Oryzias latipes: one gene and its partners. The protein of the gene in region 4 interacts with the protein of the main gene of each other region in a pairwise test. Links are inferred from orthologs where the notes say so. Each region holds a gene or a part of one and is shown on either strand. Other genes may lie near its edges.

Evidence for each region.
Region 1: the proteins of hnrnpul1 (region 4) and prmt2 interact in a two-hybrid assay, tested with the Homo sapiens proteins (2 studies listed by BioGRID and IntAct). The link is inferred for Oryzias latipes from reciprocal best matches to the Homo sapiens genes HNRNPUL1 and PRMT2.
Region 2: the proteins of hnrnpul1 (region 4) and prpf40a interact in a two-hybrid assay, tested with the Homo sapiens proteins (2 studies listed by BioGRID and IntAct). The link is inferred for Oryzias latipes from reciprocal best matches to the Homo sapiens genes HNRNPUL1 and PRPF40A.
Region 3: the proteins of hnrnpul1 (region 4) and sf3b4 interact in binary tests that used the Homo sapiens proteins (3 or more experiments, as listed by UniProt). The link is inferred for Oryzias latipes from reciprocal best matches to the Homo sapiens genes HNRNPUL1 and SF3B4.
Region 5: the proteins of hnrnpul1 (region 4) and wwp2 interact in binary tests that used the Homo sapiens proteins (3 or more experiments, as listed by UniProt). The link is inferred for Oryzias latipes from reciprocal best matches to the Homo sapiens genes HNRNPUL1 and WWP2.

Annotation. Positions count from the first base shown.
Region 1 is NC_019879.2:19,641,335-19,647,638, reverse strand, and holds the start of prmt2 (protein arginine N-methyltransferase 2), read right to left. Parts: upstream 4,913-6,304; 5' UTR 4,668-4,912; coding exon 4,563-4,667; intron 4,486-4,562; coding exon 4,291-4,485; intron 2,264-4,290; coding exon 2,102-2,263; intron 1,546-2,101; coding exon 1,381-1,545; intron 1,239-1,380; coding exon 1,063-1,238; intron 1-1,062. UniProt on the Homo sapiens protein: Arginine methyltransferase that methylates the guanidino nitrogens of arginyl residues in proteins such as STAT3, FBL, histone H4. Acts as a coactivator (with NCOA2) of the androgen receptor (AR)-mediated transactivation.
Region 2 is NC_019879.2:20,297,699-20,304,296, forward strand, and holds the start of prpf40a (pre-mRNA-processing factor 40 homolog A), read right to left. Parts: upstream 4,121-6,598; 5' UTR 3,998-4,120; coding exon 3,995-3,997; intron 1,018-3,994; coding exon 937-1,017; intron 828-936; coding exon 687-827; intron 4-686; coding exon 1-3.
Region 3 is NC_019869.2:7,215,109-7,221,613, reverse strand, and holds the start of sf3b4 (splicing factor 3B subunit 4), read right to left. Parts: upstream 4,239-6,505; 5' UTR 4,179-4,238; coding exon 4,145-4,178; intron 3,554-4,144; coding exon 3,425-3,553; intron 3,340-3,424; coding exon 2,788-3,339; intron 2,309-2,787; coding exon 2,150-2,308; intron 1,960-2,149; coding exon 1,804-1,959; intron 1-1,803. UniProt on the Homo sapiens protein: Component of the 17S U2 SnRNP complex of the spliceosome, a large ribonucleoprotein complex that removes introns from transcribed pre-mRNAs.
Region 4 is NC_019871.2:3,016,029-3,021,827, reverse strand, and holds part of hnrnpul1 (heterogeneous nuclear ribonucleoprotein U-like protein 1), read right to left. Parts: intron 3,431-5,799; coding exon 3,302-3,430; intron 764-3,301; coding exon 595-763; intron 1-594.
Region 5 is NC_019864.2:27,483,302-27,489,100, reverse strand, and holds part of wwp2 (NEDD4-like E3 ubiquitin-protein ligase WWP2), read right to left. Parts: intron 4,935-5,799; coding exon 4,862-4,934; intron 4,648-4,861; exon of another isoform or gene 3,231-4,647; intron 3,147-3,230; exon of another isoform or gene 3,008-3,146; intron 2,937-3,007; coding exon 2,785-2,936; intron 1,926-2,784; coding exon 1,682-1,925; intron 1-1,681. UniProt on the Homo sapiens protein: E3 ubiquitin-protein ligase which accepts ubiquitin from an E2 ubiquitin-conjugating enzyme in the form of a thioester and then directly transfers the ubiquitin to targeted substrates.

The DNA of each region.
Region 1 (6,304 bases), on a different chromosome or scaffold from region 4:
AAATTCAGACTTCAAGCAAACTACAAGATTATTAACAGTATTTGCGGTTTTCAAGTGCCACAACACAAACAGGTGACAGTCACACATGAGGAATATTACAGAAATGAGTCCAGCTACAGAGCAGGATTTTGATCCCCAATACATTTTTTAAAAACTTAATTTTTGTTGGTATTGCGAGGCTTTGTTGCTTTTTAAAATAGTAGTCTGCCATGTTTACACGTTCAAACCTTTAGTTCCAAAAATACAGAAGCGTGACTCCCCAAAACTGTTTTCATTCTGACATTTTGCTCTTAACCTAAAATAAAAGGGCAAAAAAGGTTCATTTAGATTAATCCTTGCTGTTTGTGTCTGACTATGAGGATATTCCTGTTGTGTGTTTAATTCGTGGAAATAAGATGTGCATCTCTTCATAATTAAGTTATAGCTTAAAGAAACAGTCGATCATCTTTTGATCTGTTGTAAAAGACAGCGGGCTTTAAATCATCAGTACCGTATGCTGTTTTTAGCCAAAAATGAAAAAAAACAAAAACATTTGAAATTAGTCTCTGAGTTTTGAGCGGGACTGCTGGTAGGGAGAGACCCTACCCCCCTTCCCATCACTCATATCTGAGCTCATTATTAACATGCTCTCCCGCTGGCTTACAGCCCCTCACAACCCCGACCTAACATTACAGACGCAACAAAAATGGCGACCAACATTGGAGCTATCCAGCTGTACGGTTTTGAGCCAAATGCCAGCTCAGATGAGGAAAACAAAGACGTTCATGGATCTATTTGTCTAGTGGAGGCATCAGAATGGAGTTTGTGAATTGCAAACTGTATTTTCTACTTAACAAATTAGTTCTTTTTGAGACAGCATTTTTTTTATTGCCTCCTGATTCGCAACAGTTTGAATAATAAAATACTCAAAAACTGCAGTTTTGAGCTTAATTTTCTTTAAATGTGCCCTGCATGATCAGTTTGACGCCACAATAACATGTTAAAAACACTATTTTCATTGGAGTGGGTCTTTAACTATGACACCGTGTAGTTTGGAGTCAACAGCAGACACAAAACTCTTACTGAAGAGGTGTGAAGTCCAGGCCATAGGGCCGCTCCCAGAAGGACATTTTCTCTGCGTAGTAGCTTCTGGCCTGACATGGAACTAGAGTGAGGGCTGCCGAGGAGGGCCACATTACACCTCCATCTTTGAGCCAGCGGTCCCTGGCAACCAGAACCGACTCCACCATGAACTCAAACTAGAGCCAAGAAAAGGAACAAATCCAGACAGTTGCTGTGTACACCAAGCATCATCAAGCTTGGATGACGAAACACACGACGGGCATCGTCACAGAAATCTAAAAAACTGTTCGCTGACAGCACTAAAGGTGTTCATTTTACCAGGAGGCAGTTCCCCATCCACTCAGACACCAGGACGTCCACCTGCTCGGGCAGCTCCAGCTCCTCGGCTCGTCCCTTCATCACCGTCACCACGTCCTCACAGCCGTTGTGCTTCACCAGCTGTCCGGTGTAGTCTGCCATGGAGCTCGCCTCCACAGCATACACCTAGAAAACACACAACAGCTTCCAACATGATCAAACTGTCCATGCAAGTTCTTCACCAGCAGATGGGAGTATTACCACAATTATCTCAGGAACTGTTCTTTTTTTTAGGATTTTATGACTTATTTTAGTGTTTAGTCTTTTAGGACAGAAGTTTAAGAACAATTTTAGAATAGCATGATATTAGTAGTGTTCTCATTTTAGGATAAAGTTGTCCTTCTTTAAATGAATTTAGTAAAAAAATTAACAACAAAACAGATGTTGGTCTAATATATTGTATGTTGTATGAATTACATAAAATCTGAACCAACTAACAGTACATTTTCTACAATATTTAGAACCTAACAAAGTCTCCTCCCTCCCATGTAGATAGAAATAATAGTTCACTTTGATTGGTAATATTCCACCAGTACTTGTTTGCTTCTCTGTAAATGAAGCAGAGTGTGCATTATATTCATGCAAAAAAAGTGTTTGCCGTATATTACATAAGGTATATTTAGAGTGCAGTGTGGTGGAATACATATGTATCTGACTGTATGTGACATCCTATTAACATTACCGCTGAGGGTTTCGCCAGCTGAGCACAGAACATGCTGATGATGCCCGTCCCACAGCCGAGGTCCATCACCACCTTGTTCCTCAGGGAGGCGCTGTTACTGACAATGACCTGTCTGTACGTTTCAGTGCGGCTCCGGTCGGACAGCATCTCCAGGTGAAGCTTCTGAAACATATTAAATAAGTGAATAATAGAGAGATGTTCATGTCCAATCCTGGTTCTAAAGAGTCCCCGCCCTGCTTGCTTTTTCAACCACACCTGTCCTGCTTGCTGTTGATCAGCTGGGCCTTCACTATTCCTTCGAGGAAAAGATGGAGAGAAAGGTTCAGTGTTTTCACAAAGTGGGCTAGCATAGGTGGACACAGCAACTTTATATGGCAGCAGTAAGTCAGACTCGAGTTAATAGCTCAAGCCTGCTGCAAAGAACTGCATCTATTTAAATGGGACCATTTTTTTTATAATAATGTTAGGGATGCAAACAAGCTGTGTTTAAAAATCCACCAGATCAGCTGCATTTCCTGCTTGATAGATAGACAGGGTGGGTCTCAGCTGTGGTTTGTTTGGGAAGGCAATTTGTTGACCATTTTTGTAAGATTTATTTTTCTCTCTGAGCAAAGGCAGCATAATTGTACAAAACATTATTTGGTCTGATTGCAGTCTTTGTAAAGGTTTAGATTGCCTATGGATTTTATTTGTGGCATGAGCTGTTTTTATTGAACTACGGTATTTATTAAATATGTTTTATTAAGTTTAGCTTTTAACATCCATCACTTTTTTCAATTTTAATTATGTTAAAACACTTTAAAAATTTAGATAAAGCTGATGATTTGCTGTTTTGATTGACTTTGCCGTTTGATATCGTCAGACATTGCAAGATACCCAAAGTAGGGGATCGGTTTAGTTGGATATGTTAATGTATGAATACTAAATGTATTGAATTTGTGTAAACAAATAAATAATTCATAAAGTGAGTGTAAAACCTAAATAATATAAAGATATAAGATGAGAGGAGCAGGAAGATAAATAACTTAGATTACTTTCCCCTGATGTATTTCTTTGTCTAACCCAGAGGTCTGCAACCTTTGACACTTAAAGAGCCATTCAGGTCAATTTTTTACTGACGACAACCCAAAGTGTTATTTCAATCTTTACAAGAGTAAGAACCACATTTGCATTTATGTTATCATCACTATTATGATTTTTAAAAATAAACTCCTGTTTTTTGGAATAAATGAAATAAAATGAAAAAATAGCCTTTTTTTGAAAATAAGAAACAATTTCTAACTTTTGACAAAGTTTCGTATGACTCCCTTTCAAAGTAAGATACCCCATGTGTCACAAAAGATCATCTCAATGCAGCAAATGTAGCAGTAGGAAGTGTTATGTAAGCGGTGATTTGAAAAAAAAAGATTATTTTACTGTTAGTGGGGCATCACAGTCAAAAATTTGTAGACCTAATTAACAAATATTAAATCAGAGCTAATTAAGTAACCCTTTAAAAATCATAATTAATCCTGGTGCACCTTAATTCTGATTGTGATTACTTACCTCAAATTCATTTTCAATAGAACACACATTTCTGTCATAATGTTTTAGTTTGACTTGTGAGACTGTCAACTATTTTTTTAAACTTTTCTACTTACTTTTTGAAAAATAAAAACTTGTAATTTTTCTTTAACCAGAGAGCCACAATGGAGGGGTAAAAGAGCCACAATGGAGGGGTAAAAGAGCCACAATGGAGGGGTAAAAGAGCCACATGTGGCTCCGGAGCCCCAGGTTGCAGACCCCTAGTCTTAAGATACTTAGCAAGCTTTGATGATGAATTTCAAAGAAAAACACAAAAACTTAATTGAGATTTTTGTTTTAACACTTAAATATAAACTTTCAAGTTCATGCCTTTAACCATTTTTTTCCATTAAAAGACACTATATTTTTATATAATGCTTTCTTTAGTTAAGTTTCACTAGCAAAGAGACATTTGTTACAAAAATAATTTAACCTCTTCTGATTTCCATCAGCTGAAGTAAAAACTGTTTTATCCTAAATTAGCTGGGATGTTTGTCTAATTTGATTATTTTTAATTAATGCTGTACTCTTTGTTATAAATAATATTAAAGCCTTTTTGAGGGAAAGTCTATTAGAGTAAACAAAAAGTAACTATTATGTTTACAAAACACGTTCACATATCTAACCAGTGTCCCGTAGCTTCCATAGTATTCTTCATCCTGCCACGGGTCCTCTATAGAAGCATCCTCTTCCTCATCGGCGGTGTCCTCGCGCAGGTATCTGGCCGGAGCATAACCCGTGACCCCCTGCAGCTCCGCCCACCACCAGTCTGCAGAAGACTTGGAGAGGACAAGCAGCCTGTCTCCTGTGTAGAAACTCAGCTGCGGGGCGAGAGAGGGGAGGTTATTCAGGGCTGCGGGTGCTCAGATGCGAGGCTGACGCCTGCGGGTTCTCTAACCTGCTCAGAGCCGCTTCCTGTAAAGTCACACAGCGCGACCCACTCTTCAGGAGACGCATCCTCCTCTTTCTTTGTGTCCATATCCACAAAGTTCTTTCGATCCATCAGCGTAGCAGCCTATTTTAATCAAACTACATTGAATACAAATCGGTGTTAAAATGTTAAATAAATAAAAAAGTAGTAAAAAAGAAAAAAAAGAAAAGATGTGCAACTCGGGGTAGCGCTGGTACTGGCTACACTTCCTGGTATGACGTCACTATGCGACTTCCTGGTTCCCGGAAATGTCTACATTTGTAAGCTAAAGAAAATTAAACACATTTTCTCCAAATTGGGAGCCATAAACTTTCTTTTATTTTGTTACTATAATGTGGTAAAGATCCCAATAAAGCTTTCCTGCTTCCATAAACAAATCTTACCTTCCTGGTCACTCATTTACAAACACATTTTTTCTCCACACAGATATGGAACAGCAAAGACATCAGATAGACATAAATCCTTATTTTATCCATCTTGGTTTACTCAAAACATCCTTCTGGTTCATCAACTGTTTAAATCAAACGGATCTTTAATGTCACATGAAAAACTCTGCCTCAAATATTGCATCAAATTACCTAAAACGGAGTTTAACATTGTTTTGAAAGCAATTCCTAAGTGTATAACTACGTTATTCAAAAGCTCATCATTGTGGAGTCCAACTCTGTTACCAATTGGCCTAACTAAATTAGAAATAGGCCAAATTTGTTTTTCTTCTTCATGTAACACAAATCGCTGCATACACTCACTCTTTCAGAAGGATGTTGTATCCATTCCCAAATACTTTTTAACCAATAAAGTGAAAGAAATCTCATTTAAATTAGTCCATAAATTTTACCCATCCAAACTATATCTGCAAAGGTTCAAAGAAGATATTGATGTAACCTGTTCTTTTGGTCAAGAACACCCTGAAGATGCTGTACATTTATTTTGGTCATGTCCCTTTTCCACTACTCTATGATCTAAAGTTTTTAATTTCATTTCCACCCACATTGACCCAGACTTTCACCTGTACTTAGAACATGTTATGTTTGGCCTCACCCACTGTCCATCTCATAAAAAAGAACAATTATACATCATTAAACTTTTATTTTTTTTCTGCAAATGGAACATTTATAAATCCAAAGTTACACATCATACCCCTCATTTTTCTGTCTTTGTCAAACAATACATTGACATACTAAGAAACTCTGACAATAAGAAAGCCATTAAAACATTCCATCTGCGCGTCAGTTTCAATGTTTTTATGTAAAATATAATAATAATCCCCTGGTTTGTTTCTTTTCTTGTTGCTGTTTTGCATTGTTGTGTATTGAATTGTTACATTCAATAAAGTTTGTAAAAAAAATAAAATTAAAGAAAATTAAACAAAAAAGAAACAGATTTTAAAAGTTTTGTTGCATGATAAATGCGTTCAAGTTTTTTTGTTATTTTAATTAAATATAAAAGTGACACAATTTTTTTTCATCATGCTATTAATCGAGAAAAGAATCAGAACAACAAAGGTGAGAAATTCAATGTCAGTCGTACTCGAGTCACAATTTTTTTGTTTTTACCTTCAACATTTAGAATTATGATATAAAACAAAAATCAAACTGTCTTTTTGTATTTCATTTGTATTCTTGCAGAAACACTAAATGCCTTAAATCAAGCTCCATAAATGTGACATTAGAACTATGTGTAGTTTTACCCATTATGAGATTTGAATT
Region 2 (6,598 bases), on a different chromosome or scaffold from region 4:
CATCTAATAAAAGGAGCATCATGAAATATTAATTTTGCATTTCCATACTAGCAAGTGCAGGCCTAAGCAATAACACTCTGAATGAGAAAGCATGACCGTGTAAAAGGCTTGATTTTCAATGAGGAGAAAAGAAACTTTGAAGCCAAGTATAGCAAGCTTGTCTAAATAAATCCAACCACAGCTTATGCTCTGTGAACAAACAGCTCCTTTCAGATCTGTAGGTATGTCACTTGGCATAAACTTCTTTCTAAAAATCTTTTAAAACCCAAATACATTTGTGACGGCTGTGGGGAAAAAAAAAACATTAATTCAATTCTGAAAAGTGATCTGAAGTGTTTCAATCACAATACCATGTTTTTATTGAAAAAAAAAAAACCCAAAACAATCAGATCGCATTCATCTTCACATACAGATTTTTATGGTTCATTTGAAATTTTTCTGGCAAGGTCGATTTAATCTTTGCTTTCATTTAATTAATCTATTTGTATCTTTTGATATTTATTATCGTCATTAACTATATTTCTGTTAGCATCTTAGTTTTACAAAGCTATGCTCTCAAATGTAACTTTAGTCACAGCATTAATGCAACCATAAGCTGAATAACATGAATAAATAACGGCATCCAACTTCTTGCAACACATTGCAGAAGAAGCTGCATGGGCGGTACAAATGTCATACAATCATACCTGTCCCAATGGTGGGGCTGCCATAGGAGGCATTATGCCAGGGGGCATTATACCAGGAGGCATAGGAGTCATGCTAGGTCGCTGACCCATAGGGGGCATTCCCATCGGAGCAAAATGAGGTGGTATTCCTGGCGGTCCCATCTGGTGAAGCGAAAGAGAAAAAAAGACAAACATAATTCTTATTTACTCCAAATACAACAGAGAAATAAAAAAGACAAAAACATATTTTTGAAAATTATCCATCACTCACATATGGAGGAGGTATTGTTGAGGGTGGTACAGCCGGATAAGCTGGTGCTTGGCTCGGACCATTGTTAGCTTCTGTTGAAGACTGTTAAGAAAAAGAAACAAAACACAGTCAGAACTCATAACTTGTACTTTTGGAAAGTCCCTTAAGAGTCAATTATTTAGGAAAAACCAATAAATCTAAATCCTCAAGTTTATTGACCTGCCAAAGAAAATATTTAAAGCAAAGCAGTATAGAAACAAACTAACTTAAAGTTAGCATTGTAATTACATGAGGACAAATATCATTCCTTTCATAAAAACATGCATAAGTATTTTAAAGTCAATCAGTATAAAAAAATAGCAATCCCAATATTTTGATGATACATTTACTGATATATTAAAAAATATATTTTGTTTAAACTAGTCATGACAGAATTCCTACAAAAACAGCATTTTATAGGATTTTAAAAATTGAAAGTGATTATGGTGTTAAATAAACAAATCTCATTGCTAGGATTTTACATTTACTGTGCACTTCAATGTTCTAAATCCTAATTGAAACCAGTTTAGACTTTCATTTGAAGCTGGAGTTTTAAAAGCCAAGCTAAACTAATTAAAATTAGTAATTTAAATGTAATAGGTTCTCTGACTGGCTAGACAGGCAATATTTGACGTCATACAATGGATTTTTCAGGGGGACAACAAATGAAGTAACTAAACTGTACTCTGTGTTCCTCCAAGCATTTCAATTCTGAGATAGAAATTAAAAAGATGAGAAAAAATCTGTTGCAACAAGCCACTGTGAGTTTTTAAGACGATCTGCCAGAAATTTTTTTGCGCGGTTTTAAGTTTCACCCTAATATACCCATGAAAAATAAGGAGCAAAACCAACGACATCGTTCATGACAGAAGTTGGAGTTTTAGGTGGGGTGGTCCAGACGTTGTCAGAGGTAATAATAAAAAATCAGGTTTTATCTACAGAAGTCATTTATATTTTCAGCCGTTAGTTCTGCAGCTGTTTTTAACACTTTTTTCAAGTGTTTTTTTTTTTAATACAAGGCATCAAGTTAAACCAGAAAGTCTAAACTGAGCAGGTAAATGGTTAAACAAGGGGCTGTAAATAAAATCCAAAGATTCAGGAATGAAAAAAAAACACTGGAAAGTGAAACAGTTCTTAATGGATGGCTAAAGTAAAAACATGTCACTTAATAAATATGTGACTTTGGGGAGGGGGGGGGATTCGTGTTAAAACAAGAGTTTTAATTTAAATTACTTTAGAGATACTCACTTTGGTTTTATTCCTACTCTCAAATATATGCTCATTTTAATGTTTTCTAATGTGGAGGTGATGGGATCAGGGAGTTAAGAGCATTGTGTTTTTATTAGTTTGATGTTATTTTTATGAAAACAGCATTGGCTCTTTGATTTTTTGTGTGTGAAGACCTTTGCAATAATAAAGTATTAAAAAGTGCTCTATAAATAAAGTTTGATTTCATTTGCTTTATTGTGATTATATATTTAAACAATCTGTGTTTAAAATCACTTACAGTTGAAGACATTGGATCTATTTACCACTTGAATTGTATTTATATAGAATAATCCAATTAAGAAAAGATAGAAAAGAAAGTAAGAATTCTTCGGCTTGATGGTGTTATAACAAACAAAATATTGTTTTATTCAAACAACTACGTCTGTGTACCAGTTTTATCCATTCGTATCTACAACATACTTTAGTGGGATTTTGTTAAAAAGCAAAACATTTACAGCATGAGTGGGAAAATTTTGCTCTATTTTAGGCAAGTTTTTTTTAATCTACTTTTAGTATTTTCGTTACTTTACAAATAAGATGTTTTTTTTCTATTATAGTTAGTGGAGGGAAATGATTCACTTTAGCATACTTTTTGCAATAGAAATGATCCATTTACCATATCTTTCTACTCTAAGTGGACATAAAAGCTTCAACGAAAATAATTTTGATCAAAATAATATATGTTTAGATTTGTATAGAGCAGTTGCTTTAACTACCCTTCCCCACAATTTTTGAGACAGAGGCAGAATTCCAACTTTAAAGTTTTTTTTTTTTTAGCTTTCAAGTTGCTTTTCACAGACTGTTAATACTTTTCAACTATGTAACAATGCATTGAACTCAAATGCTAGTCATACTCCTGTTGAGCTGTGACACCTGAAGCTGATTTTTACTGACAAATATAACATTTTAACCATTTGTAAACATTTAAACTTTAGTTGAACAGTACTTCTAGTTCTAACTTTTTGGAACTTGGCCTGTATTGTTTTTCTTTATCTAACACGTTAAAATAGAACATCTACAACTTTAATCAATTCAAATTACATGCACAATTAAATGTATATCCGCAGGAAAAACAATCTAGTTATTCATTGTCAAGATGTTTTTCCCCCAAAATAGTCTTAAACTACCACAGACAATTTATTTTAAGGAAATCCATTTAAAACGTTTATAAATAATACATTTTTTTAAAGTGAGCAAGTTATAGTTATCGTTTAGGTTAACTGTAATTTCACAAATAAACATATAGGTACAAAAGTGTAAAAATACATAATTTTGGTCAATAAAAAAGTATCTCGTGTAGATAGATGGATTATCATGAAATATAAAAAGTCTGTCCCTATTCTTAATTACCCTTCCTTCAATTCTTAAGCATCAGTTAATGATTGTTATAACGAGGAGGACACGGGCTAGGTCTATGCTCTGGCTAAGAAGAGTAAGAGAGGCAGCGATTGTGACCTTTACACCAAACCACCTTTACATAAAATGCATAAATTATCTACTGCCACACTGACAGAACAAAATTCATTTTACAATTGGGAGTTTATTCTTTCCTTATTAGTGTTTCTTCTCATGGTGATAGTCGATGACATGACGCTAACTCGGCTAAATGCTAACAAAAAAGCTAACGTCGCGGTTTTGTTGAAACGTCTAGCCCCTCTATAGTAAAATAAGCTTTAAAATAACCTTCAAGAAGTAGTGAATTTAAAGCCACAAAATGCATTTAGCATATAACATGAAAACAAAAACTAGCACTTGAAGCAACGATACTTACCATGTTGTCTCAATGAGCCTTCGACAAATGTGAGCATCAGCACCTCCCAACAAAGAGCGATACGATTGGTCGACGTTGCTTCCGGCGCAAAGAGGTCAAAGTTTGTAGCTCAGTGGCGTTAGTTTGCGCTAAATGTGCGCAGACATGCGCATCAACGGGGATGAGGGGAGAAGAATTCCAGATTTATGAGTTTCAAAGGGAAAAAAACACAACACAAACGAACTATATAACAAATTAAAAGTAGGGCAAATAAAAGAGTGTGGCTCAATGTAACTTTTGAGTCAAATGTTTCACTTAAAACATCACACATATTATTATGAAATAACTCATATGTCCATATGATTGTAAATGGTATAAAATGTGTTCACTCTTTTCTTGACAATTACCAGACCTGCTCAACATCTAATGTAACCTCAACCAATTTAGAAATCTGAAAAGGATATTTTGCCAAAATAGGGCAGAAGAAATGCCACTAAAAGGCTGTTAATTATGCCAAGAATAGTCTTATAAGGGATTTCATTATCTTTATTCTTTACTAGGTACATTGAAAATGAGTCGGGTAAAGATGACTATACTTGAGTGTAATGCTGGTTGCCTTACACAAAAACGGAAAGAGCTGTTTTTTGATTAAACATCATGTAGAATTTGGAGTAGCTGAAATAAAAAATAACAATAACAAATGAATCAGTTAAAGATACATTTATCAAATATTTTCTTTTGCTTTGCTTTAAGCATGGGGTTAATTATTGATACTACATTTCACCTGTCGTTTTTCTGTTTCTTGACAATTAGGTTGATTAGATGTCTAAACCAGGGCTCAACTAATTCCCACTTTCCAAATAAACATTAAAAACACTATATTTATAAGAAAAATAGTATTGTATTGGATTCATCTGCGCTTTTCCAGACGCTCAAAACCCTTACAACATGTTTATTATTCATTCTCTCCTCATTCACACTTGGTGATGGTAACTACTGATGTAGCCACAGCTGCCCTGGGGCAGACTGACAGAGGCGTGGCTGCCAGTATGCGCCTATGGTCCCTTTGACCATCACCGGGGCATTCATACGAATTCACACACCAGTGGAACCACACTGGAGGCGGGGAGGGTGAAGTGTCTTGCCCAAGGACACAACGATAGTTGACCGGGGGGAGCAGGGATCAAAACGCCGACCCTTCGATCATTGGCCGACCTGCTCAACCGCCTGAGCCACTGAGTGCTTATGATCTAGTCCTAACCCAGTTCGCCAGTACCTCATCTTTGTCTGTGCTATTGATTCACAATATATGAGTTGGTCAATGTTTGCTGCAGGCCATTTTGAGGCAGTGAGTTTTGAGTCCAGCATCCTGCTGACCTGCCTTGCAGGCACTGCAGTCTCATCTGACAATTGGCTTCCTGTCAAGCATAGCCACATGAGCTACCAACAAAGCACATCACATTTAGAGTCTGTTATTCAAGTTGCCCCGTAAGAATGAAGAGACATAGGTTTAAACATTTAGTTTATTTAGGGGAAAAAAGCATCTCATAGTCTTGGTTTAAAGCTGAATATTTCACTAAGAACCTAGCTTTTTTTAATGTTTTGCACATTTTAAAATGTAGAACAAAATAAAAGAAATCCATAAATAAGGGCTAACACAGTGTGATTCTCAGCTTGCATGGATCGGCGTGTTGTTGCCTCCCAACTCCGTGAGACTACATTTGTCCTTGTTATAACCCCTTGTGGTTGTTCTCAGACAACATAGCTCAAAAATATTGTGCATCCTGCTTCATCTATAAGTTTACCCAGTTCTGCAGACATTATACAATATGTTCACAAAACTGTATTCCCTCTGTGTTCCATCAGCACATCCATTTAGTGATAGGGCTTAAAAGAAAAACTATTTCTGGTGCAATTTCTTGCGAGATTGCAACCATCACATGCAACTCATAAAGCTGTTGATTGATAAAGACATGCTATTTTCTCTCCTTTCTTTTTGCAATAGTTAGTGATTCCAGACCATTTAGTTTAAATAATATCCCCTGGTTTGTCTTTTTCAAAATTCCTCACTCAGCAACCCTTGTGCTATCCTAGGCACTTTAACATTGGGAGTTGGGTCATTTAGACCCACTAGACAGTGCGCTGAACCTTTTTTCTTCAATGATTTGTGATCTTCACTGGTGTCCATGGATTACATGAAATCTTTCCACCTTTATCCACCTTTGTTATGGTAGGGATAACACGTCAATGTAAGGGTGGGGTCATCTAAGATAGCACAAAGGTTAAACACATTAAAAGTCAAAAGATAATAAATGTCTAAAACTATATAACTGCTTTATACAGTCACTTTTCACACTTTAAAAATAACAATTCTGAGACAATTTATTCCCAGCACACAAAACAGTGGCAGACTGCCTGGCTCAGAGATAAATATTTTCGATGGCAAAAATTTGACATAGTTCTCTGCTCTTGTGAGCTCCTGCTGCCTGCTTTTCCTCTTTGAAGATGGATGAAGTCATATATTTGAGAACGCTGCCATCTGTTAAAATACATTCTTCCATCTTAAGTGGTTTGTCGTCATTCAGACAGGTTGAAGTGGATGATTGGAGACAATATGAGGCGCAT
Region 3 (6,505 bases), on a different chromosome or scaffold from region 4:
ACCGCCAACCCCCCCGCCCGGCGCCGCCGAACACAAAATCCTTCGGCGGCAGCGGCAGAAATGAATACCGGTACAAGTAATAATTACAACCCAGTATTCTTTATTAACAAATAACATTAACAACTAACTACTACCTATCTAACTAATGAACTAACTATATAGGTTTTGTAGAATGACTGTGTGTGTGTCTGTGGCAGTAAACCCAGACCAGTTCCAAACAACAGATCATTTTATTCCTTTCTTGGGAACAAACTTCCCACTCTCACCGGTAGCCATGTTGTCGCTTGTTGTTCCGTGTGAGCTATGATGTTGTTGTTTGTCGTTTGCCTTACTGCCCGTAACAAAAATTTCGAATCGATTCAATCGATTTTTCGCCCAGGCCGAAGTCAAACTAAAGCCGTAGGTCATTAGGTCACTGTACTGATTTTAGTCACAGTTGAAAAAGAAATGAGACCAAAGTTTGGAACAGATTATGTTTGAAGGGTTCCTTTAGATCATGTGTCAAACTCAAGGCCCGGGGGCCAAATGTGGCCCTCCATGTCATTTTATGTGGCCCGCGAGATCATAAAAGTTTTTAATTTCTTAAAATAAAATAAAAAAAATGGTGTAGACAGGGCAACTATACATTAGGACTTAAACACTGTCCATATAACCTAACCTGACAGAATCAAATTTAAAAGGATTTATGCTGGAAAAACAAGCAAACATGTTTTCTATGCAACTGTAATTGTCACTTTAAAAATTTATAGTAAATAATGAGTTATTTAACATTAAGGAGTAGTTACATTTATTTTTCATTACATTTAGTTACATGTATAAGTTATATCTGGCCCTTTGAGGACAGCCGCTATGCAGATGTGGCCCTCGGTGTAAATGAGTATGACACCCATGCTTTAGATGGATCCGAATTAGCATCTCATTTATTAAGTAAAAAAGTTAAGTATTTTTAGAGCAGCTAAAATAATTGAATCCACTGCAGTAAAGTAAGAAGGACTTTTTAAACTTTATACATCTCTGACCACATGTCAGCCACTCCTCTTTCAAAATACTCATCCACATCCCTGCTGTAAAACCATTTACTGCTTTAAAACTAGCAAATCTGTCCAGGGATGTGCGGAGCTGAATCGCGTGAATCGGATTTTATTTCCGGATCAGAGAACTTATATGTCTTGTATTCTAATTATGATCAAAAACGACTATGCTAAAAGTCTGCAGGGGTGTCAACATGAAGTAGGGATTCTCGCCAGGACGGACAGGCGACGTACCAGAACTCCTAGAGAAGAATTAGCTTATCTAAATCTACAACTAGATGTTTAAATAGTCCAGCAGACGGGCCTCATCCAGATAGAACTGGGGGACAGCTAGGGGCGCGAGACGAGGTCCACGGCCAAGCTGCACTATTTTTACTCGATTGTTCAAACTTATTCACTGAAGTGCTCTGTTTAAGTCTAAAATGATCAAATCAAAACTAAAAACCAAACGACTCTGAATCTGATCAGGATATCCTTAATTCAGCTGACAATAATTCATTAGCAAGTTTAGTTTGAAAAGGTAGGTATTTGTTTGAAGTTTTACTTTATCAACAACTCAAATATTAGGATGCTACAAGCACAGGTGATTTCATAAATGTAAGTCAGTGACTGAGATGATTGGCGGACCTGGTTCCTTACCAAACCCCCATTACATCACTTTCAGAGCGTCTCTGCCAAATCCTGCCAACTCTGACACTTCCTTCAACGCCGTTTTTCCTTTCAGGTGTTTTTTCTATTTGACAGAGACATGAAGAGGCGTCATAACACTCACCCATGGGGGGTCCATATGGTGCTCTGGGCGGCATGCCCATAGGCGGGGGTGGGGGGAGGTTGGGGGGCGGGGCGCGTTGGGATGATCCTGGTGGAGCAGGAGGAGGTGGAACCATGCCAGGCGGAGCGGGAGGGTGCATGGGCATCTGAGGCATACCTGAGTGACAGAAACGGATCAAACTGGAGGTGGCGGGAAGAAAAACTAGATACTAAAACGAGAACAGGCTTTGACTTTCAGATGTTTATGCGGATGCCAAACAAAGTAAACGCGGCTCTGAGGCTCAAAACCTCTGTATTTCCTCCGACAGAAAGACAAAAACCACTCTTAAGAAGTCACAATGTCTCACCTGGATGCATACTTCCAGGCGGGAAGGGTGGTGGTCCACCTGGACCGCCAATACCCTGTGGGCCACCTGCTGATGGAGGCATCCCCATGCCATGGGCCATGGAAGGAGGGAGTGATCCGGGGGGAGGAACAGGGGGAAAGGCACCAGGAGGTGGCAGACCTGCACACACAAATCAACACAATCTACTTGAAGGACTTGTGGGTACATTTGTTTGTATTTTTGCAGCTAATTGCTAATTTGTATCTGTAAAAACACTTGTTTAGGCTAACACAAAACACAAGTCCCACACTGATCATCCTTTGATCTTTTTTCAAAGCGGTCTTTTATGAAAATGATGATGGTGATGATGCCATTTTTAGCCAAAATCAAAAGATCCTGTGTTGTTTTCTAGAACATAGTTTCTGCGGAATGGCAGTAGTTATGTAAAACTACAGAAAAATCCTTTTTTTTTGTCTGCTTCAGATTTAAATCCAGTTTTTAATTTTTGCAGTTTGCAGTCAAATGCAAGTTTGAGCTACATTTTCTTTGTCTCTATCATCAGAAAAATGCCACAAAAATACATCAAAAAGACAATGTTCATAAAAGCGAGTCTTTAAAAAAACAAAACTATTTTCACATAAATGTGACGTAACACCCACCTCCCATGCCCGGAATACCCATTCCAGCTCCTAGTGTGGTCAGGACCGGGGTGGGAAGAGAGGGAGGTGGTGGGGCATCAGCGAACAGCTGGTGGGGCCTGTCCGCCTGGGACAGCGGATTCTGCGCCGCCAGGAGTCGCTCTGCGGCGGAGCCGTGGCGCTCCCCTTTAGAATCTTTCTTGAAGGCGTACGACACAGTGATGGGCCGGTTACAGAGGTACTGGCCATTCATGGCCTCGATGGCGGCATCAGAAGCATCAAAACTGGCAAAGTTGATAAAAGCGTAACCCTTGGAGTTGCCGGTGTCTGGGTCTCTCATGATCTTTGGTGTTTGGAGAATCACACCGAAGGCACTGAATGTGTCGTAGAGCAGTTTCTCATCGATTTCTGGGTCCAGGTTACCGATGAAGATGTTCGCACCCACATCCAGGTTTTTGTTGTGTGCCGAGGCCTTATTGACTCGAATGGGTTTTCCATAGAGCTTGATCATATTCATTATTTTAATAGCATAATCAGCATCCTCTTCGCTGAGGAATTCCACAAAGCCATAACCTAAATAAAGAAAAACAATTTTGTAAAGATAATTTTCTAAGAAGATAATTGTTCAATCTTGTTGACCAACTGAAAGTGCACTCACCCTGATGTTGACCCGTGACCCTGTCTTTGGGCATGTGCGTGTTTACCACAGGACCAGCCTGCAGGAAGAGTTCCCATAGCAACGGCTCCGACACTTTCTCATCCAACCCACCGACATACACCGTGGCATCTGGACAGACAAGAGCAGGCTTGGTGAGTAAAACACTACAAAGGTTTCCACTTTCTGACACAAGTTAATGAATACGAATTACAAAAAGAAATGACCATATTTATGTTCACTTAAAGTTTCATTAGTTCTTTTTAAAACCATTGTTGAAACTGTGAAAAATTTAATGATCATGCTGCCTGGTAAGAATAAAATGAGGTCAATGAACTGAAGTTAAATTATGAAAGAAGTTGCAGTTGTTTAGTATTAGTTCCTGGCATAAAATATTGCTTTTTCTCTTTCTATTTATAGATTTGCAACAATGGAAATGAGTATACGTTTTTTCACAGCTTAATGCTTATATAAAAGGACGTGCATCTAAAGTGCAAATTCGATAAACGATTAATTGGGAGAATGGCTTTATTAGCTACAAGCTAGGCTAAAGCCGCTTCACTCCATGTGTTTACCCGGTTTCAACAGAAGAATATTAGCTAATTTTAGGATCCATATTCGCTCTATGAGGAAAAATGTGCCCTTGTTGGGTGTTACTACACATTACATACATTTATGCACGGCTAAATGTCAAAAGAAATGGGTAATAATTCCGTAAATTACCTTGGTTTCTTTCAGAAATTGGTCCCGCGGCCATGTTGAATGACCAACGCACCAGAAGCGTTCATGTAGGAAGCTCCGCCTCTTCCTGTTCAGCAAACCGGAAGTTATAATATAAAATGAACTCCTCTTTCAAAAAATAAAATACAATATCTTTGCTTCGTTTTAGATTATTTTTTTAATAGCATCGAACAATAAAAACACAAGACCAGATAAAGTTCAAAACTTTGTACGGACCAATTTATTACATATTTATATACATTTTTATATAAATCTACTAAAAGTATAAACATGGAATACAAATTGTTCATACAAAATACAATTTGGGCATAATAAAACCATTTTTATAAAACAATACTGTATCAAAATAAAATAAAAAAGCATGTCATGCAACAAAGTTCAAAACACAAAAAGCCAATGTTTTCATTTTATAAATGCATATATAAAAATGGGTTAAAAAAGCCTTGATCAATAATAACATAAGTGAAATGCATTTGTGTACAGAGCTGAGACTTTTACATTAAAAAAAAATGAACATTAAGAGCTAAAAATGGCTGCTCATTTAGAAAAGTAAGAAACAAAAAGGACACACATAGGTCAAAGTCTCCAAAAGCTTAATAAAAAAGATGTTCAGATCATTTTTTGATGGCTCTTATGATATTGCAATCATTGTTTCTAAAAATAATAATAATAATAATCAAACGAAAAGAAAAAGGAAAAAAGTCTTTTGACTAATCCAACTTGAGTCACAGACTTAGCAGAAAAAAACAAATTTTTATTTCAGTCAAACTGTTCATTCCTTTTAAGTCTCATTAGAAATCTTTCAAATGTTTCAAGTAACTGAGCAAATTACAGATCCATTATGTAAGAAGTGTAAAGGCCAAAAAGTTTTAATTAAGATGTTTTTGAAAGGTTTTACAATCAAATACTACCTATTTTCTTAAAGTTGTATCAACATAACACAATTCCAAATGGTAGACTTTAATCTCAGTCTTTTGGATAATTTTCTGTTATTTTATGTTGCCAATTCCTAAACTTTTATTGTGCTGCACAAATGCCAGCCCTCCTGCTGTTTAATTTGCCTAAATCCAGACTGATCTTTTAAGTAGAGACAGTCCAATAAACTGCATTCACAAGCGTCTTCAAAAGACCACCGGATCAACTGCCTTCATGTTTATAGGGTGCCTAACTATAAAGATTTTTACTTTTCAACAAGTGTTATGAGGTTGTATTTTATTTTCTCAATGTAAAGTTGTGGTATCTCAAACCAAAAAAGGAAAAGCAGCTCAGAAACTTTCCAAACTCCTTTTTCTAACCTTCTTATTGTACCTCTAACCAACACTGAATCCTGATCCATCTACATTTCAAACACAATCCATACCAGAGCAGCATTGTAGGTCCTTCTGTCGGTGACACAGAGCATACATTCGGCTGCTGGTGTTCTCACCACATACAATGAAGTCTACAATAGACAAAAGGAACATGATGACAGATTACCATCTAATTCTTGTTAAACCTGAGCAGCTGCTGCAGGCATCAGTAAAGCCTTAGTCCTGCGTTCACCTGTACGGTTAAAACTGTACGGCTGTTTTTAGGTTGTCCAGGACCATGGAGGGTTGTAGAGAAGGACGTCGTGAAAGGGAATGTACTATTATTATGGGTGTTGTAGGAGTTTAGTGAAGTTACACATACATGACATGTAGGTGGTGCGTCATACGGTGCCCTAACGCTGCACTCTTGTCATGAGCAAGTTGCGAATACTAGCTCTTTATTGACTGCACACAAATGCTGCACACACGGTGTACACGGGATAAGTACCATATTTTCTGCACTATGTGGTGGACCTAAAAGCATCAATATTTTTTTTCAAAATAGGGCCTTCTATTGATTCTGGTAGCGATTATTGATGTCGAAGCAATTTTGATAGGTACGCGGCACTCTGTCAAAATATTTGGTTATGGTTTAGTGTGAATATGCTAACGCAGCTAACATGTAGCGGTTTTGGTGCGTTTCTAACAAGGTTGGGAGTTAGCGTAGTCACAGTAATGTCTGTTTTAGCGGTTTCAGTCTGTTTTTTATGTGTTGAAAACAACGTTGCGTGTTATTGTAATGGGAATAACTCTTTTAATGTGGCTAATGTGTATCGAGTTACGAACGTCTTGAGTCTGACAGATTGACGGCCTTATCTCTGACTTTTTTGTCTTCGGTGCGCCTTATATATTGCAAAAGTTCGAAAACAGACCATTCATTACCGGTGCGCCCTATACTGCGGAAAATACAATAAGTGCGGTAGGATGCCAGTACAATGCTTACCGTACATCTTCCAATAGTGGCCGGTCTTTAATTGACGCCAATCTAAATAAA
Region 4 (5,799 bases):
AACAAACAACAGTTAGTGCAATACAAGGGCGGAGCCAACAAACAAAGTCAGAGCAGGTAATGAAAGCAGAGAGGAGAGAACAAAGGTCGCCTCCAGGGAGCATGGAGGAGACATTTGTTTAAGCAGACACAGAGAGGGAAGGAGGGAGGGGGGCTTCAGTAGAGGAGGGGGGGCAACTAAGAGCTCGAGGGGGAGCAGGGACAGCACTGCAGACCAAGAACGGTTCCCAAAAAAAAAATAACACAGGAAGGTTCTTTCCTGGAGGCGAGGGCTTAAACGCCAATCGGGCCTGAACCCGGCTTGGTTTGCAGTGCTTCTTCGGGGGTGGGGGTGGGGGGGTTAAACGGAAAGCGGCAGGTAACGGGCAAAAAAAAAAAATTTATGTGGGGATGTTTAAAACAAAAATAATTCCAGGTCTGATAATCTGACCAAAAAAAAAAGAAAAAAAGGCTATGATGGTGGGGAGGGGAGGGGGGAGGGGGAACATCTTCCAAGGTAGATTTTTTTTTTAAAATTTTTTTTAAAGAGACAACACAGAAAAAAAAGTCAAAAGTAGATCTGGTGTTTTATTGGTTGCTTCCACAGCGTTCCTACCTTTCATTTCTAACACAGCATGATCGGGCACATCCTTCCCCTGCTCATTGGTTTGCTTTAATGTTCGTTCTTTAAAATCCTCGTCCGTGGGACAAATTACAATAGCCTTGCGTTGAAAACCTTCAAAAGGACGCATTTTTCGTCTCCTTGCTGATCCATATACATTTGTCTAGCAATGGCGACAAGAAAGAAGTAGAAGCTTGTTTGTTATTGTTTACTTGTAATGGCTTTCCACTGGGAGCAAGCTGGAACCCTGCAATAGTCAAGTGAGAGAGGTTTGGCTTGGATGGCAGTCTAGGGTTTTTTCACGAGCCTCTCATCACCCACAGGTTTTACCTCGCGCTCTGCTCGCCGCCGCCCGGAGACTGCTGTTGGATGTTAGTGAAAGAAGGAGGGACCCCACCCGCAACAACTACGCAGCACGGCGGCGTTCGCCTCAAAGGGCCGACCAACAAGGATCTGCACAAACGAAGGCGTCACGAGGAGAACGGGTTTTTACCAGATCCTGCCTGAAGATCTGCGCTCGGGTGAGAAATGGAGAACAGAAGGTTCCCCGAAGGTCGCCGAAAAGCTGCTGAGTTTGCTCCTTCCATGCTAACACGGCAGAAACATCGCTTTGAGTTTGTCGGGTGAAGACCTATCACACTAAGAAGTCACAGTTCCTGACGACAACGGCGGGATTAAACTGCAGAGACGCAGCAAAGCCCGGCATGAAGGCCACGGCTAAAGTCGATTTCTCAGCCTTTTCCGGGCTTTGCTCATTTCAGTCCAAGTCCGATCATCTTCCTATCTATTTTCAAAGTGTCTCAGTGGTCTTGATGCCACTTGTAGCTAATATCAACACACCTGAGTTGTTTTTTTGGACATAGTTTCTGCAAAGCGGCAAGAGTTCATTAGAAATTCACCTGATATTAAAGAGCTCTCCGTTTACACGCTCTCCCTCTAACTTACAGCCCCGATGTATCATCAGCGGTGCAAAAAAACGGCGAGTAATATCTGAGCTACGCAGCCGCCCAGTTCTGACGAAGACGCTCATGGATCCGTTTGTCTGACAGTGGAGGCATCAGAAGGAAGCGTGTGGCCCCGCCCAGCGTACTTTCTATCCAATAAACGACTTTTTTCAAACGGGACTTTTCCATCTGCTCCTGATTTGCAACAATTTGAATAAATAAACAAAGCAGAAATGCAATTTTAAGCTTAGTTTTCTTCATATTCGTCCTTTCTAACATGTTGAAAACAACATTTACCTCAGAGAAAAAGCAGATCTTCAGTTTTTCCCTTAACCACTAGATGTCAGCGAGGAGTCACAAACGCTTTAACTTTCCACTTGTACAACAATTACTGACCAGACTGAGCAAAGTCCTGTTGATTTTACCCACAATGCACCTTTAGCTAGGCAGAGCAAAGGCACAATAATTTAAATCTTGGACTTCTTGTTGCCCACAAAAATAAAAACACTCAAACTAAAACATAAAATTAATCAAATTTTTAGCTTTATTAATCCTTTTAGCTTCAATTTACATCATGTGATGAAATCCAGTCACAAAACACGTTAAACTCAGGAAAAAAAGCAAAATGTTTAATCAGAACTCGAAATTGAACTTTTTCCCCCATAATAGCTTCGGCTCAGAAACGTGGCGGTTCACAGAAACCCGAGCTGATCATCGTCCCGACGCAGAAGGCAAACGTGACGGAGACGGCGGCTGGCCCCAACGCAGAAACCATCGCTTTGAAGCTCAGCTTCCCAAACATCTCACCGTGAAAAACAACGTTTGCCAAGATTCCCGCTTCCGTTTTTATAGCGAGCCTTTCCAGGTTTGCTGACTCCGATCCAGAAAAGCCGCAGCCTGTTCGTCTTCTACCGCTTTCACAGAAAAAAACTTCTTCAGGACACAAAATGCTCCGGAGAACAGCGAGAACACAAAGCCGAGTAGAACTCTGACGAAACGATTCGAACGCTCGCTTTAACTGTGCAGATAAAGACGGAGACTCGCCTCTTCTAAACCCCGTTTATGTTTCTGTTCCTCTAACGGGTCCCCCCTCTTACCGTGACTCACCTGGTCTTGATGAGAGCTCTGGTCCCGTTTCAGACAAGGACAGACAGAAACAACCCACCTGCCTGTACTCACAGAGTCCTCAAGAAAGCCTCAGAACCATCAGACCGACCTACCTTCATCCTCGCAGCCAAGAGCAAGAACCTGAAAACCTGAACGTCGTTAGTCGCCACTTACCTCCAGCATCAATTTAACAAAATAAAACACACACTCAACAGTTCCAAGTATCTCACTTCAAAATAGCTTAAAGAAGCTATGGACTCTGTCTTATTAGATTAGCAACAGAAGGTGTTTTTCTTACTCACCAGAGATTACTTGTTTCTCAACATCTCTACAAAGTCATGGTTTACTTGTACATTGTTGAAATTTCACAAGACAAACAATACTGTAGTATGACAAGAAATAAGGTGCAAATGTACTGAAGGGTGAAAACACGACATATTCTGTCACTTATGAGAGCCATTACGTATTTTCTGTTACAAAAGCATGACAAAGCAAGTGACAAGAGGCTGATCAATGCTTCTTCTACTCTATAATACACAGAGACCCCCTGAAAGATAAATAAATAGTCCATTAGAGAGAAAGTGATCATCAGGGCACATTGACTGACTGTGGTGAGAATGAGAAGGCAGGAGGAGGAGGAGCAGCAGTACCTGATCCAGGATGTAGTTGCGCCTCTTGCGGGCGGCGATCTCGATCAGCCTGTTCAGGCATTGGGTGGCCTGCTGTATGAGGACGTCCCAGCGTCCGGCGTAGTTCTTCTGGCGGCGCAGACCCATCACCTGCACGGCAGTCGCATTCAGGTTTAAAGAATGAATCAAAGAAGGAATTGGACTCCTCTCCGTTTCCGCAGCTCAGGGGATATCATGGACATTTGATGAGGAAGAGTCGTCACTGTTGTGACTTAAAAATAGTCCAAAGAACTACAAAGGGGTAGTTAGTAAAAAGTACAGATACTGTAGGTTGCAATAAGTGGATTTTACCAGTTTGAAACACTTTTTGTCTATCCCCCCCCCCCCCCCCCCCCCATTTCATGGAAGAGAGCTGGTAAAAATAAACCAAGACTGAAGTTGCCTCAAAGTTGCTTCTTATATCAGTAACCATTAACCCTTTAAAACCGAAGCTGTCACCGTCAACAGCTAAACAACAAACAATCTTTGAACTACCCCAGTGCTTCTCAATTATTTTTTGCCAGGTCCCCCCTAGGAAAAGAAAATGTTTCGCGCCCCCCCTGACCCCCCCCCCCCCCCCATAACCCCCCCCCCCCCCACACACACACACACACACAGACACACTCGCGCGGTGACAATACATCAGGTCAGTATCTATAAAATTTGTATACCTAAAATTGTATCTTTTAACACTAACAAAAGAAAAAAGCAAAATAAATCCACTTTCAACAAATATTAACTTTATTTAGCCACAGAAACCCTGTTCTAGTCTAAAACAGAAAAGAAGCTGAAAGTACCTGAAATAAAAAAAAAATCTGTCATTCCTTATTTAAACTAGAAACATTTTGACCAACTTAACCATTTGATGCTGAAAAAAATAATTCAATCAATAAATAATATTAAATCTAAATTGATCTGAAACATTAACACAGCAGCACCAATATATTTAACGTTTTTAGTCTGAAGAAATAGGTAAAAACGTGCTGATTTTTTTTTTCTAAATGACGGATTGTTTATTTCTGATCTCATAAAAGTGCAGCTGTTTTCCTGCATTACCTGCTGTCTTTATGTCTGTCTGACACCAACTAAACCACAGGCAGACAAAGAAAACATGGATGGAAAATAAAGACACGTCATCAAAATGTCTACAATAGTTCATAAAGAATGACATTGTTAGCATGAGCTTAGGAATCTAAGGGCAGCGGTGATCTTGGGCAACAGGCAGCGGTAGCAGTGGTCCGCGTGCCCCGTTTCCCCTGGCAGACAGGGCCCACACCACCCCTCCCCTTTCGTTCTCACTCGCGCAGCCGCGGACAGACAGAACAGACAATAGGAACCGAATAGTGGACCAGATTATTTTCCAAGCACTGAGCCGCTGTCACCGCTGCCCCCACGTTAAATTTGCGCACCGGACAAACCTGTGCCTAAAACCGCCACCACCGCGCGCCCCCCCTGGCATCGCTTCGTGCCCCCCCCTGGGGGCGCGCCCCACTATTTGAGAAGCACTGAACTACCCTAACTATGCAACCACTGGCACAAATAATGGGATTTTGATTCTAATTCTGATTTTAATTCTAATTCTGATGGGGCTTTTTTCTGCACATCACAATGAGCTGGTTTACGTCAACTGCGTAAAGACCTTGCTACTGTAAAGTTTACGCCTTACTACCGTAAAGTATTGAACATCAGCAGAAAGCTGCTTTTCTCAGCTTCAGAATATGCTGGAATTACCTTAGTCGTGTAAACCGTTAAAACATTACAGCTCTGGTGTTAAAGACCCACCACGATCCTCTTTTGATCTATTTTCAAAGTACTTCCAGTGGATTTTTTCATTATGATTACCGTTGTGTTGTTTTTAGCACTGCGGTTATTATGCAGCGGGGCAGGAGTTCATTAGAATATACCCCCGAAGTTTTGGGTTGGAACTTTGGCCCAGAGCAATCCCAGCCCCCCTTCCTGTCACCCGTAACCTTGAGGTCTCTGTTGTGCCCTCCCACTAGTTTACAACCCCTCACACCCATAATCTAACAAACAAACAAAGATGCACTCCGCATTTCTGACAGTACACGTGGGTTAAGTGGCCTGAGCAGCACTTGCATCTCTGCCGGAGTTCCCACGTTGGGAAATGATCCAGGCCGTCCTTTCTCACATCAGGGGGTACCTCAGTGGTTTTCTTCTTGCGGGGAGGGGCCAGTGTTGTATCTGGAGAGGACAGTGGTCCAGCACTTTTTCTGACCTTTCCTGCGCTTGTGAGCGCAGTACCAACAGAAGCCTGAAATATCCGCAGGGGTAAGGGTTCCTGCCGGGGCTGCAGTTTCTCCAGGTCTCTTCTGTAGCGGATCCACCCATTGATTACCGCCAATGTAACCGTGTGCCACCAAATGTAGATGTACCACCTTCTGGATCTGAGGCTGAACTTGTACAGTGCAGATAGTGTACCAAGAAAGGTGAATGCCTCCAGTGAACCTGTTGTATGCATC
Region 5 (5,799 bases), on a different chromosome or scaffold from region 4:
AGATAATTAAAAAAAACTACATGTAGAAAACATTTTTTGTCTCTTAACTAATAAAAAAGCCAATATATTACATTAACTTAGTAAAACAAGACTAAATCAACGAGAACAACAGTTTTCTCTTTAGTGATCTGTGTGATCCTCCTTTCTTTCTGTCCTCAGAATATAAACCATATTCATGAAAAAACATTTTCAGTTTAAGCAGCACCAGAAGCTTCTGCTGCCTGTCCTTTCACAATAAAAGCTGAGAATGTTCCCTCTAAACCTTAATAAGGTGGTCCCTCACAATATAGCAATTGACTTTTCACAGTCTTGCTGTTTCACAGATGACAATTTTGAAGGTTTTTTATTTTTATAATTTTTTGCAGATTGTGTTCTGCGGCCTGATTGAATGTTGACACTGTCAATCAATCTCTGTGCATAAATCTTCCATCACGATCAGATCTTTGTTTTCATTCTATAATCCTGGACTCATTTTTCTATGAATGTTTGAAGTTTGAGAGTTTAAAAAAGAAAGAAAAGTGTGAAGGTGTTAATGTCAGTCGGGAGAAAGTGTATAAAATGTAGTGAGGAGTTTTTACATCTTCAATGCTACTTCGTGGATTTCATCTGCTATTGCAGGTTTTTTTTTAGAACAAGACAAACGAGAGGGAACACTGTAGTTGGTTTTACCAGCCTTAACGGTCACAACTGTAAATGGCACGGAGCTAAAGCGTCTCTAACATACGTGTCATTCTTCACTTTTCTTAGCGGAATTGTCTGAAATCAGACATATTTGGGTTCTCCAGAACAAACAGATGTGGCTTTAGGTTCGTAGGTTCAGCAGGTTGGTTTTTTGGAGGTTCAAACACCAGCTTTGACACTCATCTCGTCTTTGAGAAGGACACCTAAACTCACATTACGCTCATTTGCATGAAACCTTCAAGTCGCTTTGTATTCAAGCCTCTGCTAAATGCAACACAGTGTCATGTAACAGGCTGTTTAAGTTTGTGCCACCTTTTTCTCAGGTCATAGATCTTTATTCTTTTTGCCCCCTAAGAGACGCTTCAGTGTTTGGACCACAGCTCTCCTAAAGTTCTCCTCAACTGTTAGTCGTTTGTTCTCCTTTAGGTCTTTCTGACACAAGGCGGAATTTCTGTCTTTTCAGTGATTACAAGTAGTTCAGATCCGGAAGCTTCAAAGGACACCAACATTATCACACTACTACCCCCCTGCTAGAATAACGCTGTGACGGTCATTTATAAAAATACATGTACATGTCAGAGAGAGCCTGTCTTTTGTTTCATCAGTCTAAAGAACTTTTTTTTTTAAGTTTTGGTGAAGTTTTGGTCAAACAGGAGATGAGTCTTTCTGTTGCTTTTGCTCAGCAGCATAATTTTCATTGAACTCTCCCATGGATTTTAATCCAGACTCTTTCTTGTTCTTCAATCATGAACAACTACTTCATTATTGAAACATACAAAACAATCAAAAAGGAAATGTTTTTTTTTAGTGCTGTACAAGGAACTCTGACTGAAGTCATGAAAAAAATACCAAAATAGTCTAATCAGCTGAATGGTCTCCTTTATGACTTCTGTTGCACTATTCAAACACTCTTTTTATTCTATATATTTTAGCATAGAATTTACCCACAGGGGCAAAAGTTTCATTTGGCTCTGCGACAACAAAGTGCCCCAGCTCTTACCCAGTCGGTAGTGAGTCTGTGTTGGGCTCTGCGGTGCTGGTGCCGCTTTGTTCTGTGTTGGACGTGGCGTTGGGGCTGGGCTCTGCAGGGGCGGCTGTACCCTGGGCCTCCTGACCCGGAGACGGGCTTCCGCTGCTGCTGGCGGCAGGAGATCGGCCCGATGGAGAGGATGGAGGAGGAGGAGTCTGTCGGGCCACGGCCCCACAACTGCTCTCCATCCCGTTCGACATGACTTCCACTTTATCTATGGGGGGGGGGGAAGCAAACAGAGGTCAAAGAGAACAAGGAGGTTTGACTGCAAAGAAACAGGTCTGTATCAATGGGATCTGACGCTTTCTGCAACAATTACCATATTTTTCAGAGTATAAGTCATGTTTTTTTTTTACATAGTTTGGCCAGGGGTGTGACTTGTGTGATTTTAAAAAATAAATATTAGCTCATAAATTTTTTATTTTCCCACTTAGCAGTTGTTCCCACTAACGATCACTAGAGGGCACTGTGGGTGTGAATATCAGTCATTACTAACGGCAACAAAGAAGAAGAAACACCATCCCAAACAAAAATGTGGGACGACGAGTCATCAGACTGAGTTACAGAGACGGAAGTACCGCTGAAAGTAGCATCATTCAGACGCAGCTCCTACAGTAAATGTTGAGCTGCAGATTCCGAATGATTTTATGGACCCAAACATGGAGACGTGATTACCGATGTTCTTGTAGAACTCCCAGCAACAGCAGTCTGTAGTTTATAAACACGTTTAGACTAGCATTGAGTAGTAAATTTGTCATGCACCAAAAAATAAGCAACGGATGCATATTTGACACATGCATCCTGTTCAGCGTAAACGCAAAGTTGTTTAAAACATTGCTTTTTTTTGCCAGAGTACGACTTATGCTGCAGTGCGACAACATACATCTGAAGAGAAAAGAAAAAAAATCGGGTAACTGTTTTTAAACTTTAACAATTGGAACATCTAAGAAACAAATTCATAGACTTTGAAGATAATATTCATTTCATGGAGCGCGTTCACCAGAAAGCATAAAAACAGCATCTAAGAAGCTAAACCTGCTGATTGTTGTCCACATGTTCTGCAGAATATTTACCAGCACTGCCCCCAGGACTGCCATGACTCTTCAAGGGTGGATGGCGAGCACAAGAGCCCGGCTCCTCGCTCAGCTCCCCATTAGTTAAAGAGCTCCCCCTGGAGCCCCCTGTCGTTTCGCCATGCAGACCCCCCACTGAGAGCCTGTTGGTCCTGCAAACAAAAATCGATGAATCAGAGAAGACATAAGAAGGAGGAAACAAAAACACAGTTCAGATCCTCCCATTCCTGTCTTCCATTGACTCGCTTGGAACGGACATCCCAGAGCTCTGCTGCTTCATGACTCAGTGCTGCAGAAGATCAAGTGTGCTCAGCATCAAAGCAGCACAAGCGGAGGAGGTGTTGGTCCCGTTTCACGGCTGGGTATTTTCACAGAGCTAAATATAACTTTGCTCTTTAGTCGGGAGCTTTCACATGAAGAAAAACACGCTGGCTTTCTTTCTCCAGGATGGAGGAATGCTGCGGCTGCAGTTGGACCAGCTTCCAGAAGACCAGAGAAAATGGATAAGAGGCAGCAGAAGACAGAGGCAACAGCCGTACCAAAAAGCCGGTCTGGTGCCAGCGAATCCGTTTTCGTGTGGCCGTCCAGCTCCGAGCTGTCTGAGAAAAATGTGTCTGCTGTTGAGTCTTCTAATCTCTCCAACACAGATGTTGACCGCTTCTCCATGACAACAGCGGTGCGGACCCTCGCTTGAACCGGGCTTAATGCCCCCCACAGTGTTTTTTATGGGAATACCATCTGACCCCATGCACTCCTGCAGCTAAGCTTTGAAATAAATGCAGGTTTGTTTTCAATATTTATTATCCCACTACCATTCTAGCCAGCGAGAGCAGCGCTTCAAACCACACTCAGTGGGGAATGGTTTGCTGGCGCTCTGCTCAAGCTCTTCAGTCAAACAAACTGGCACTGCAGTCCTTTTCTTCTCCTCCTTCAATTTATTTAGAATAGAATTACATCCCAGGTTCATTATTTTCATTTGGATGCCTTGCAAACAGTATTTTAGAAGGAGGTTACACTAGTTTATTATTACACCATTATCCTTATTGTAAAAAACAAACGTCTGCAGAGTGTTGAAACCAGAAGGATGAAGAGCTCTCCTCCACTGTTAGGTTTTACGTCAGTCTATCAGGTCATGAGAGGCCGAGCTGCTAATTGTTGATCCTGAAATAACAGCCAACAGTTCTACATTTAAAGACGAAAATAATTTAAATTTCATCCATGTTATCTTAAAATGATTAAGATTAACCAGATTTTAAGAGATCTTTTACTGATATAGCACTTCTTTTTAAAAAGAAAGCCAACTCAAAAGCCTTAGCCACCACTAAGGATGTGCCCATATATTTTTTTCCTTCCGATACTTATAACATATATTTCCTCTGCAACTGTGCCCGACAGCCAATATTTGCCGATACCAATACTTAAGTGCCCATACGGTGCATGGGGAGGGGGGTTGACCCGCCATGCACCCGCCTCTGGCTTGTCTCTACGCCTGCTCCTAAACTTGGCTGTGGACCCCGCCTCTGGCTCGTCTTGTAGCCTCAGCCTTCCCCAACCCCATCTGGATGGAGCCCATCTGTTGCAATATTCAAACATGTAGTTGTAGAGTTAGATAAAATAATTCTTCTCCAAGAGTTCTGGTTCATCGCCTGTACGTCCTGGGAGAGGATCCCCCCTTCATGTGGACATTTGCTGAAGTTTCTTCTTTTTTTCCCTGGACTCAGACATTTTTTGGGTTTTTTTTCCTTACCGAGAAGGAGGGTCTAAGGGCACCGTTTAGTTTAGTGTTTAGCTTAGCCATTACCTATTGAATTCTATGACTTCATGTTCTTTATGATTTCACGTTTATTAAACAACTACCCATATGAAGCCCGTTGAGGGGACTGTTGTAATATTGGGCTATATAAATAAAATTGAATTGAATTTAAGACTTTAATAGTACTGCAAAATTACAAAAATAAATCCAAGATATCAAAACCTGTATTATTTTTAGGAGTATATGAACGCACAATAAAATTTATTATTTTAGACGTCACCCATGCTGGTGACTTTAATCCATCTTTTAATATGATAGTCTCACCTGCTGTGTGATGCAGATGCACTCTCTTCACTCTGCGTCCTTCTCAGGTTGGGTCTGTCAGACTGAAGAATCTCTGAAACACAAACACATCACACCACAATGATGCAAACAAGTCCTTATTCTGACAGAATCACGAACACTTCACCAATTAAAGAGATGCAAAGTCACAGTCAGAAGGGTTCAGATTAAAGACCAGAATTAAAATATTTTCAGCTAAAAAAAGAGGGGGGGAAAACACATTAAAAAAAATAAAACTTTACAATACAACCTCTTATTACACGAAACTTACAGTTAAAGACGCACAACAGAGAATTTCCTAAACTACTATGGACGGTTTTCAATAGCCTTTAAATATGTGACTGACACGACTGCATTAGACAATAGGTAAACGCAAAAACTAAAACTAATAAAGATGAACAATTTTAAAATCAGCACAACAAACAACAAAACATATTTTGAATATTCTAAATAAGCCTTTATGCCTCAGTTGTATCGCTGTTAAGGCAGGCAGGTTAAGGCAGGTGGAAGAGAAGAGTTGGGTTACTGGACATATAGAGCTGAGTATCATCGGCGAAACAATGAAAATCTATGTAGAATTTATGGAATATATTACCAAGGGGTAGGAGGCAGTTAATGAAGAGAAGGGAACCTTGAAGAACATCAGAGAAAATGGTGTCAAGAGATGAAAGTCTGAAGGAGGATGGAGTGAGATATGGTGTCAAGTGCCACGGTCAAGTCAAGTAGGATGGGGATGGTGATGAGCCCAGAATCAGCTGCTAGAAGGTCATTAGAGATTTTCAACAGGGCAATTTCAGTGCTATAAAGGGGGCAAAAACCGGATTGAAAGGGTTCAAAGAGATGGTTTTGATTAAGATGATGGTAACGTTCGGAGGCAAATTTTTTCAGGTATTTTGGGGATGAAGGGTAGGTTAGAAATA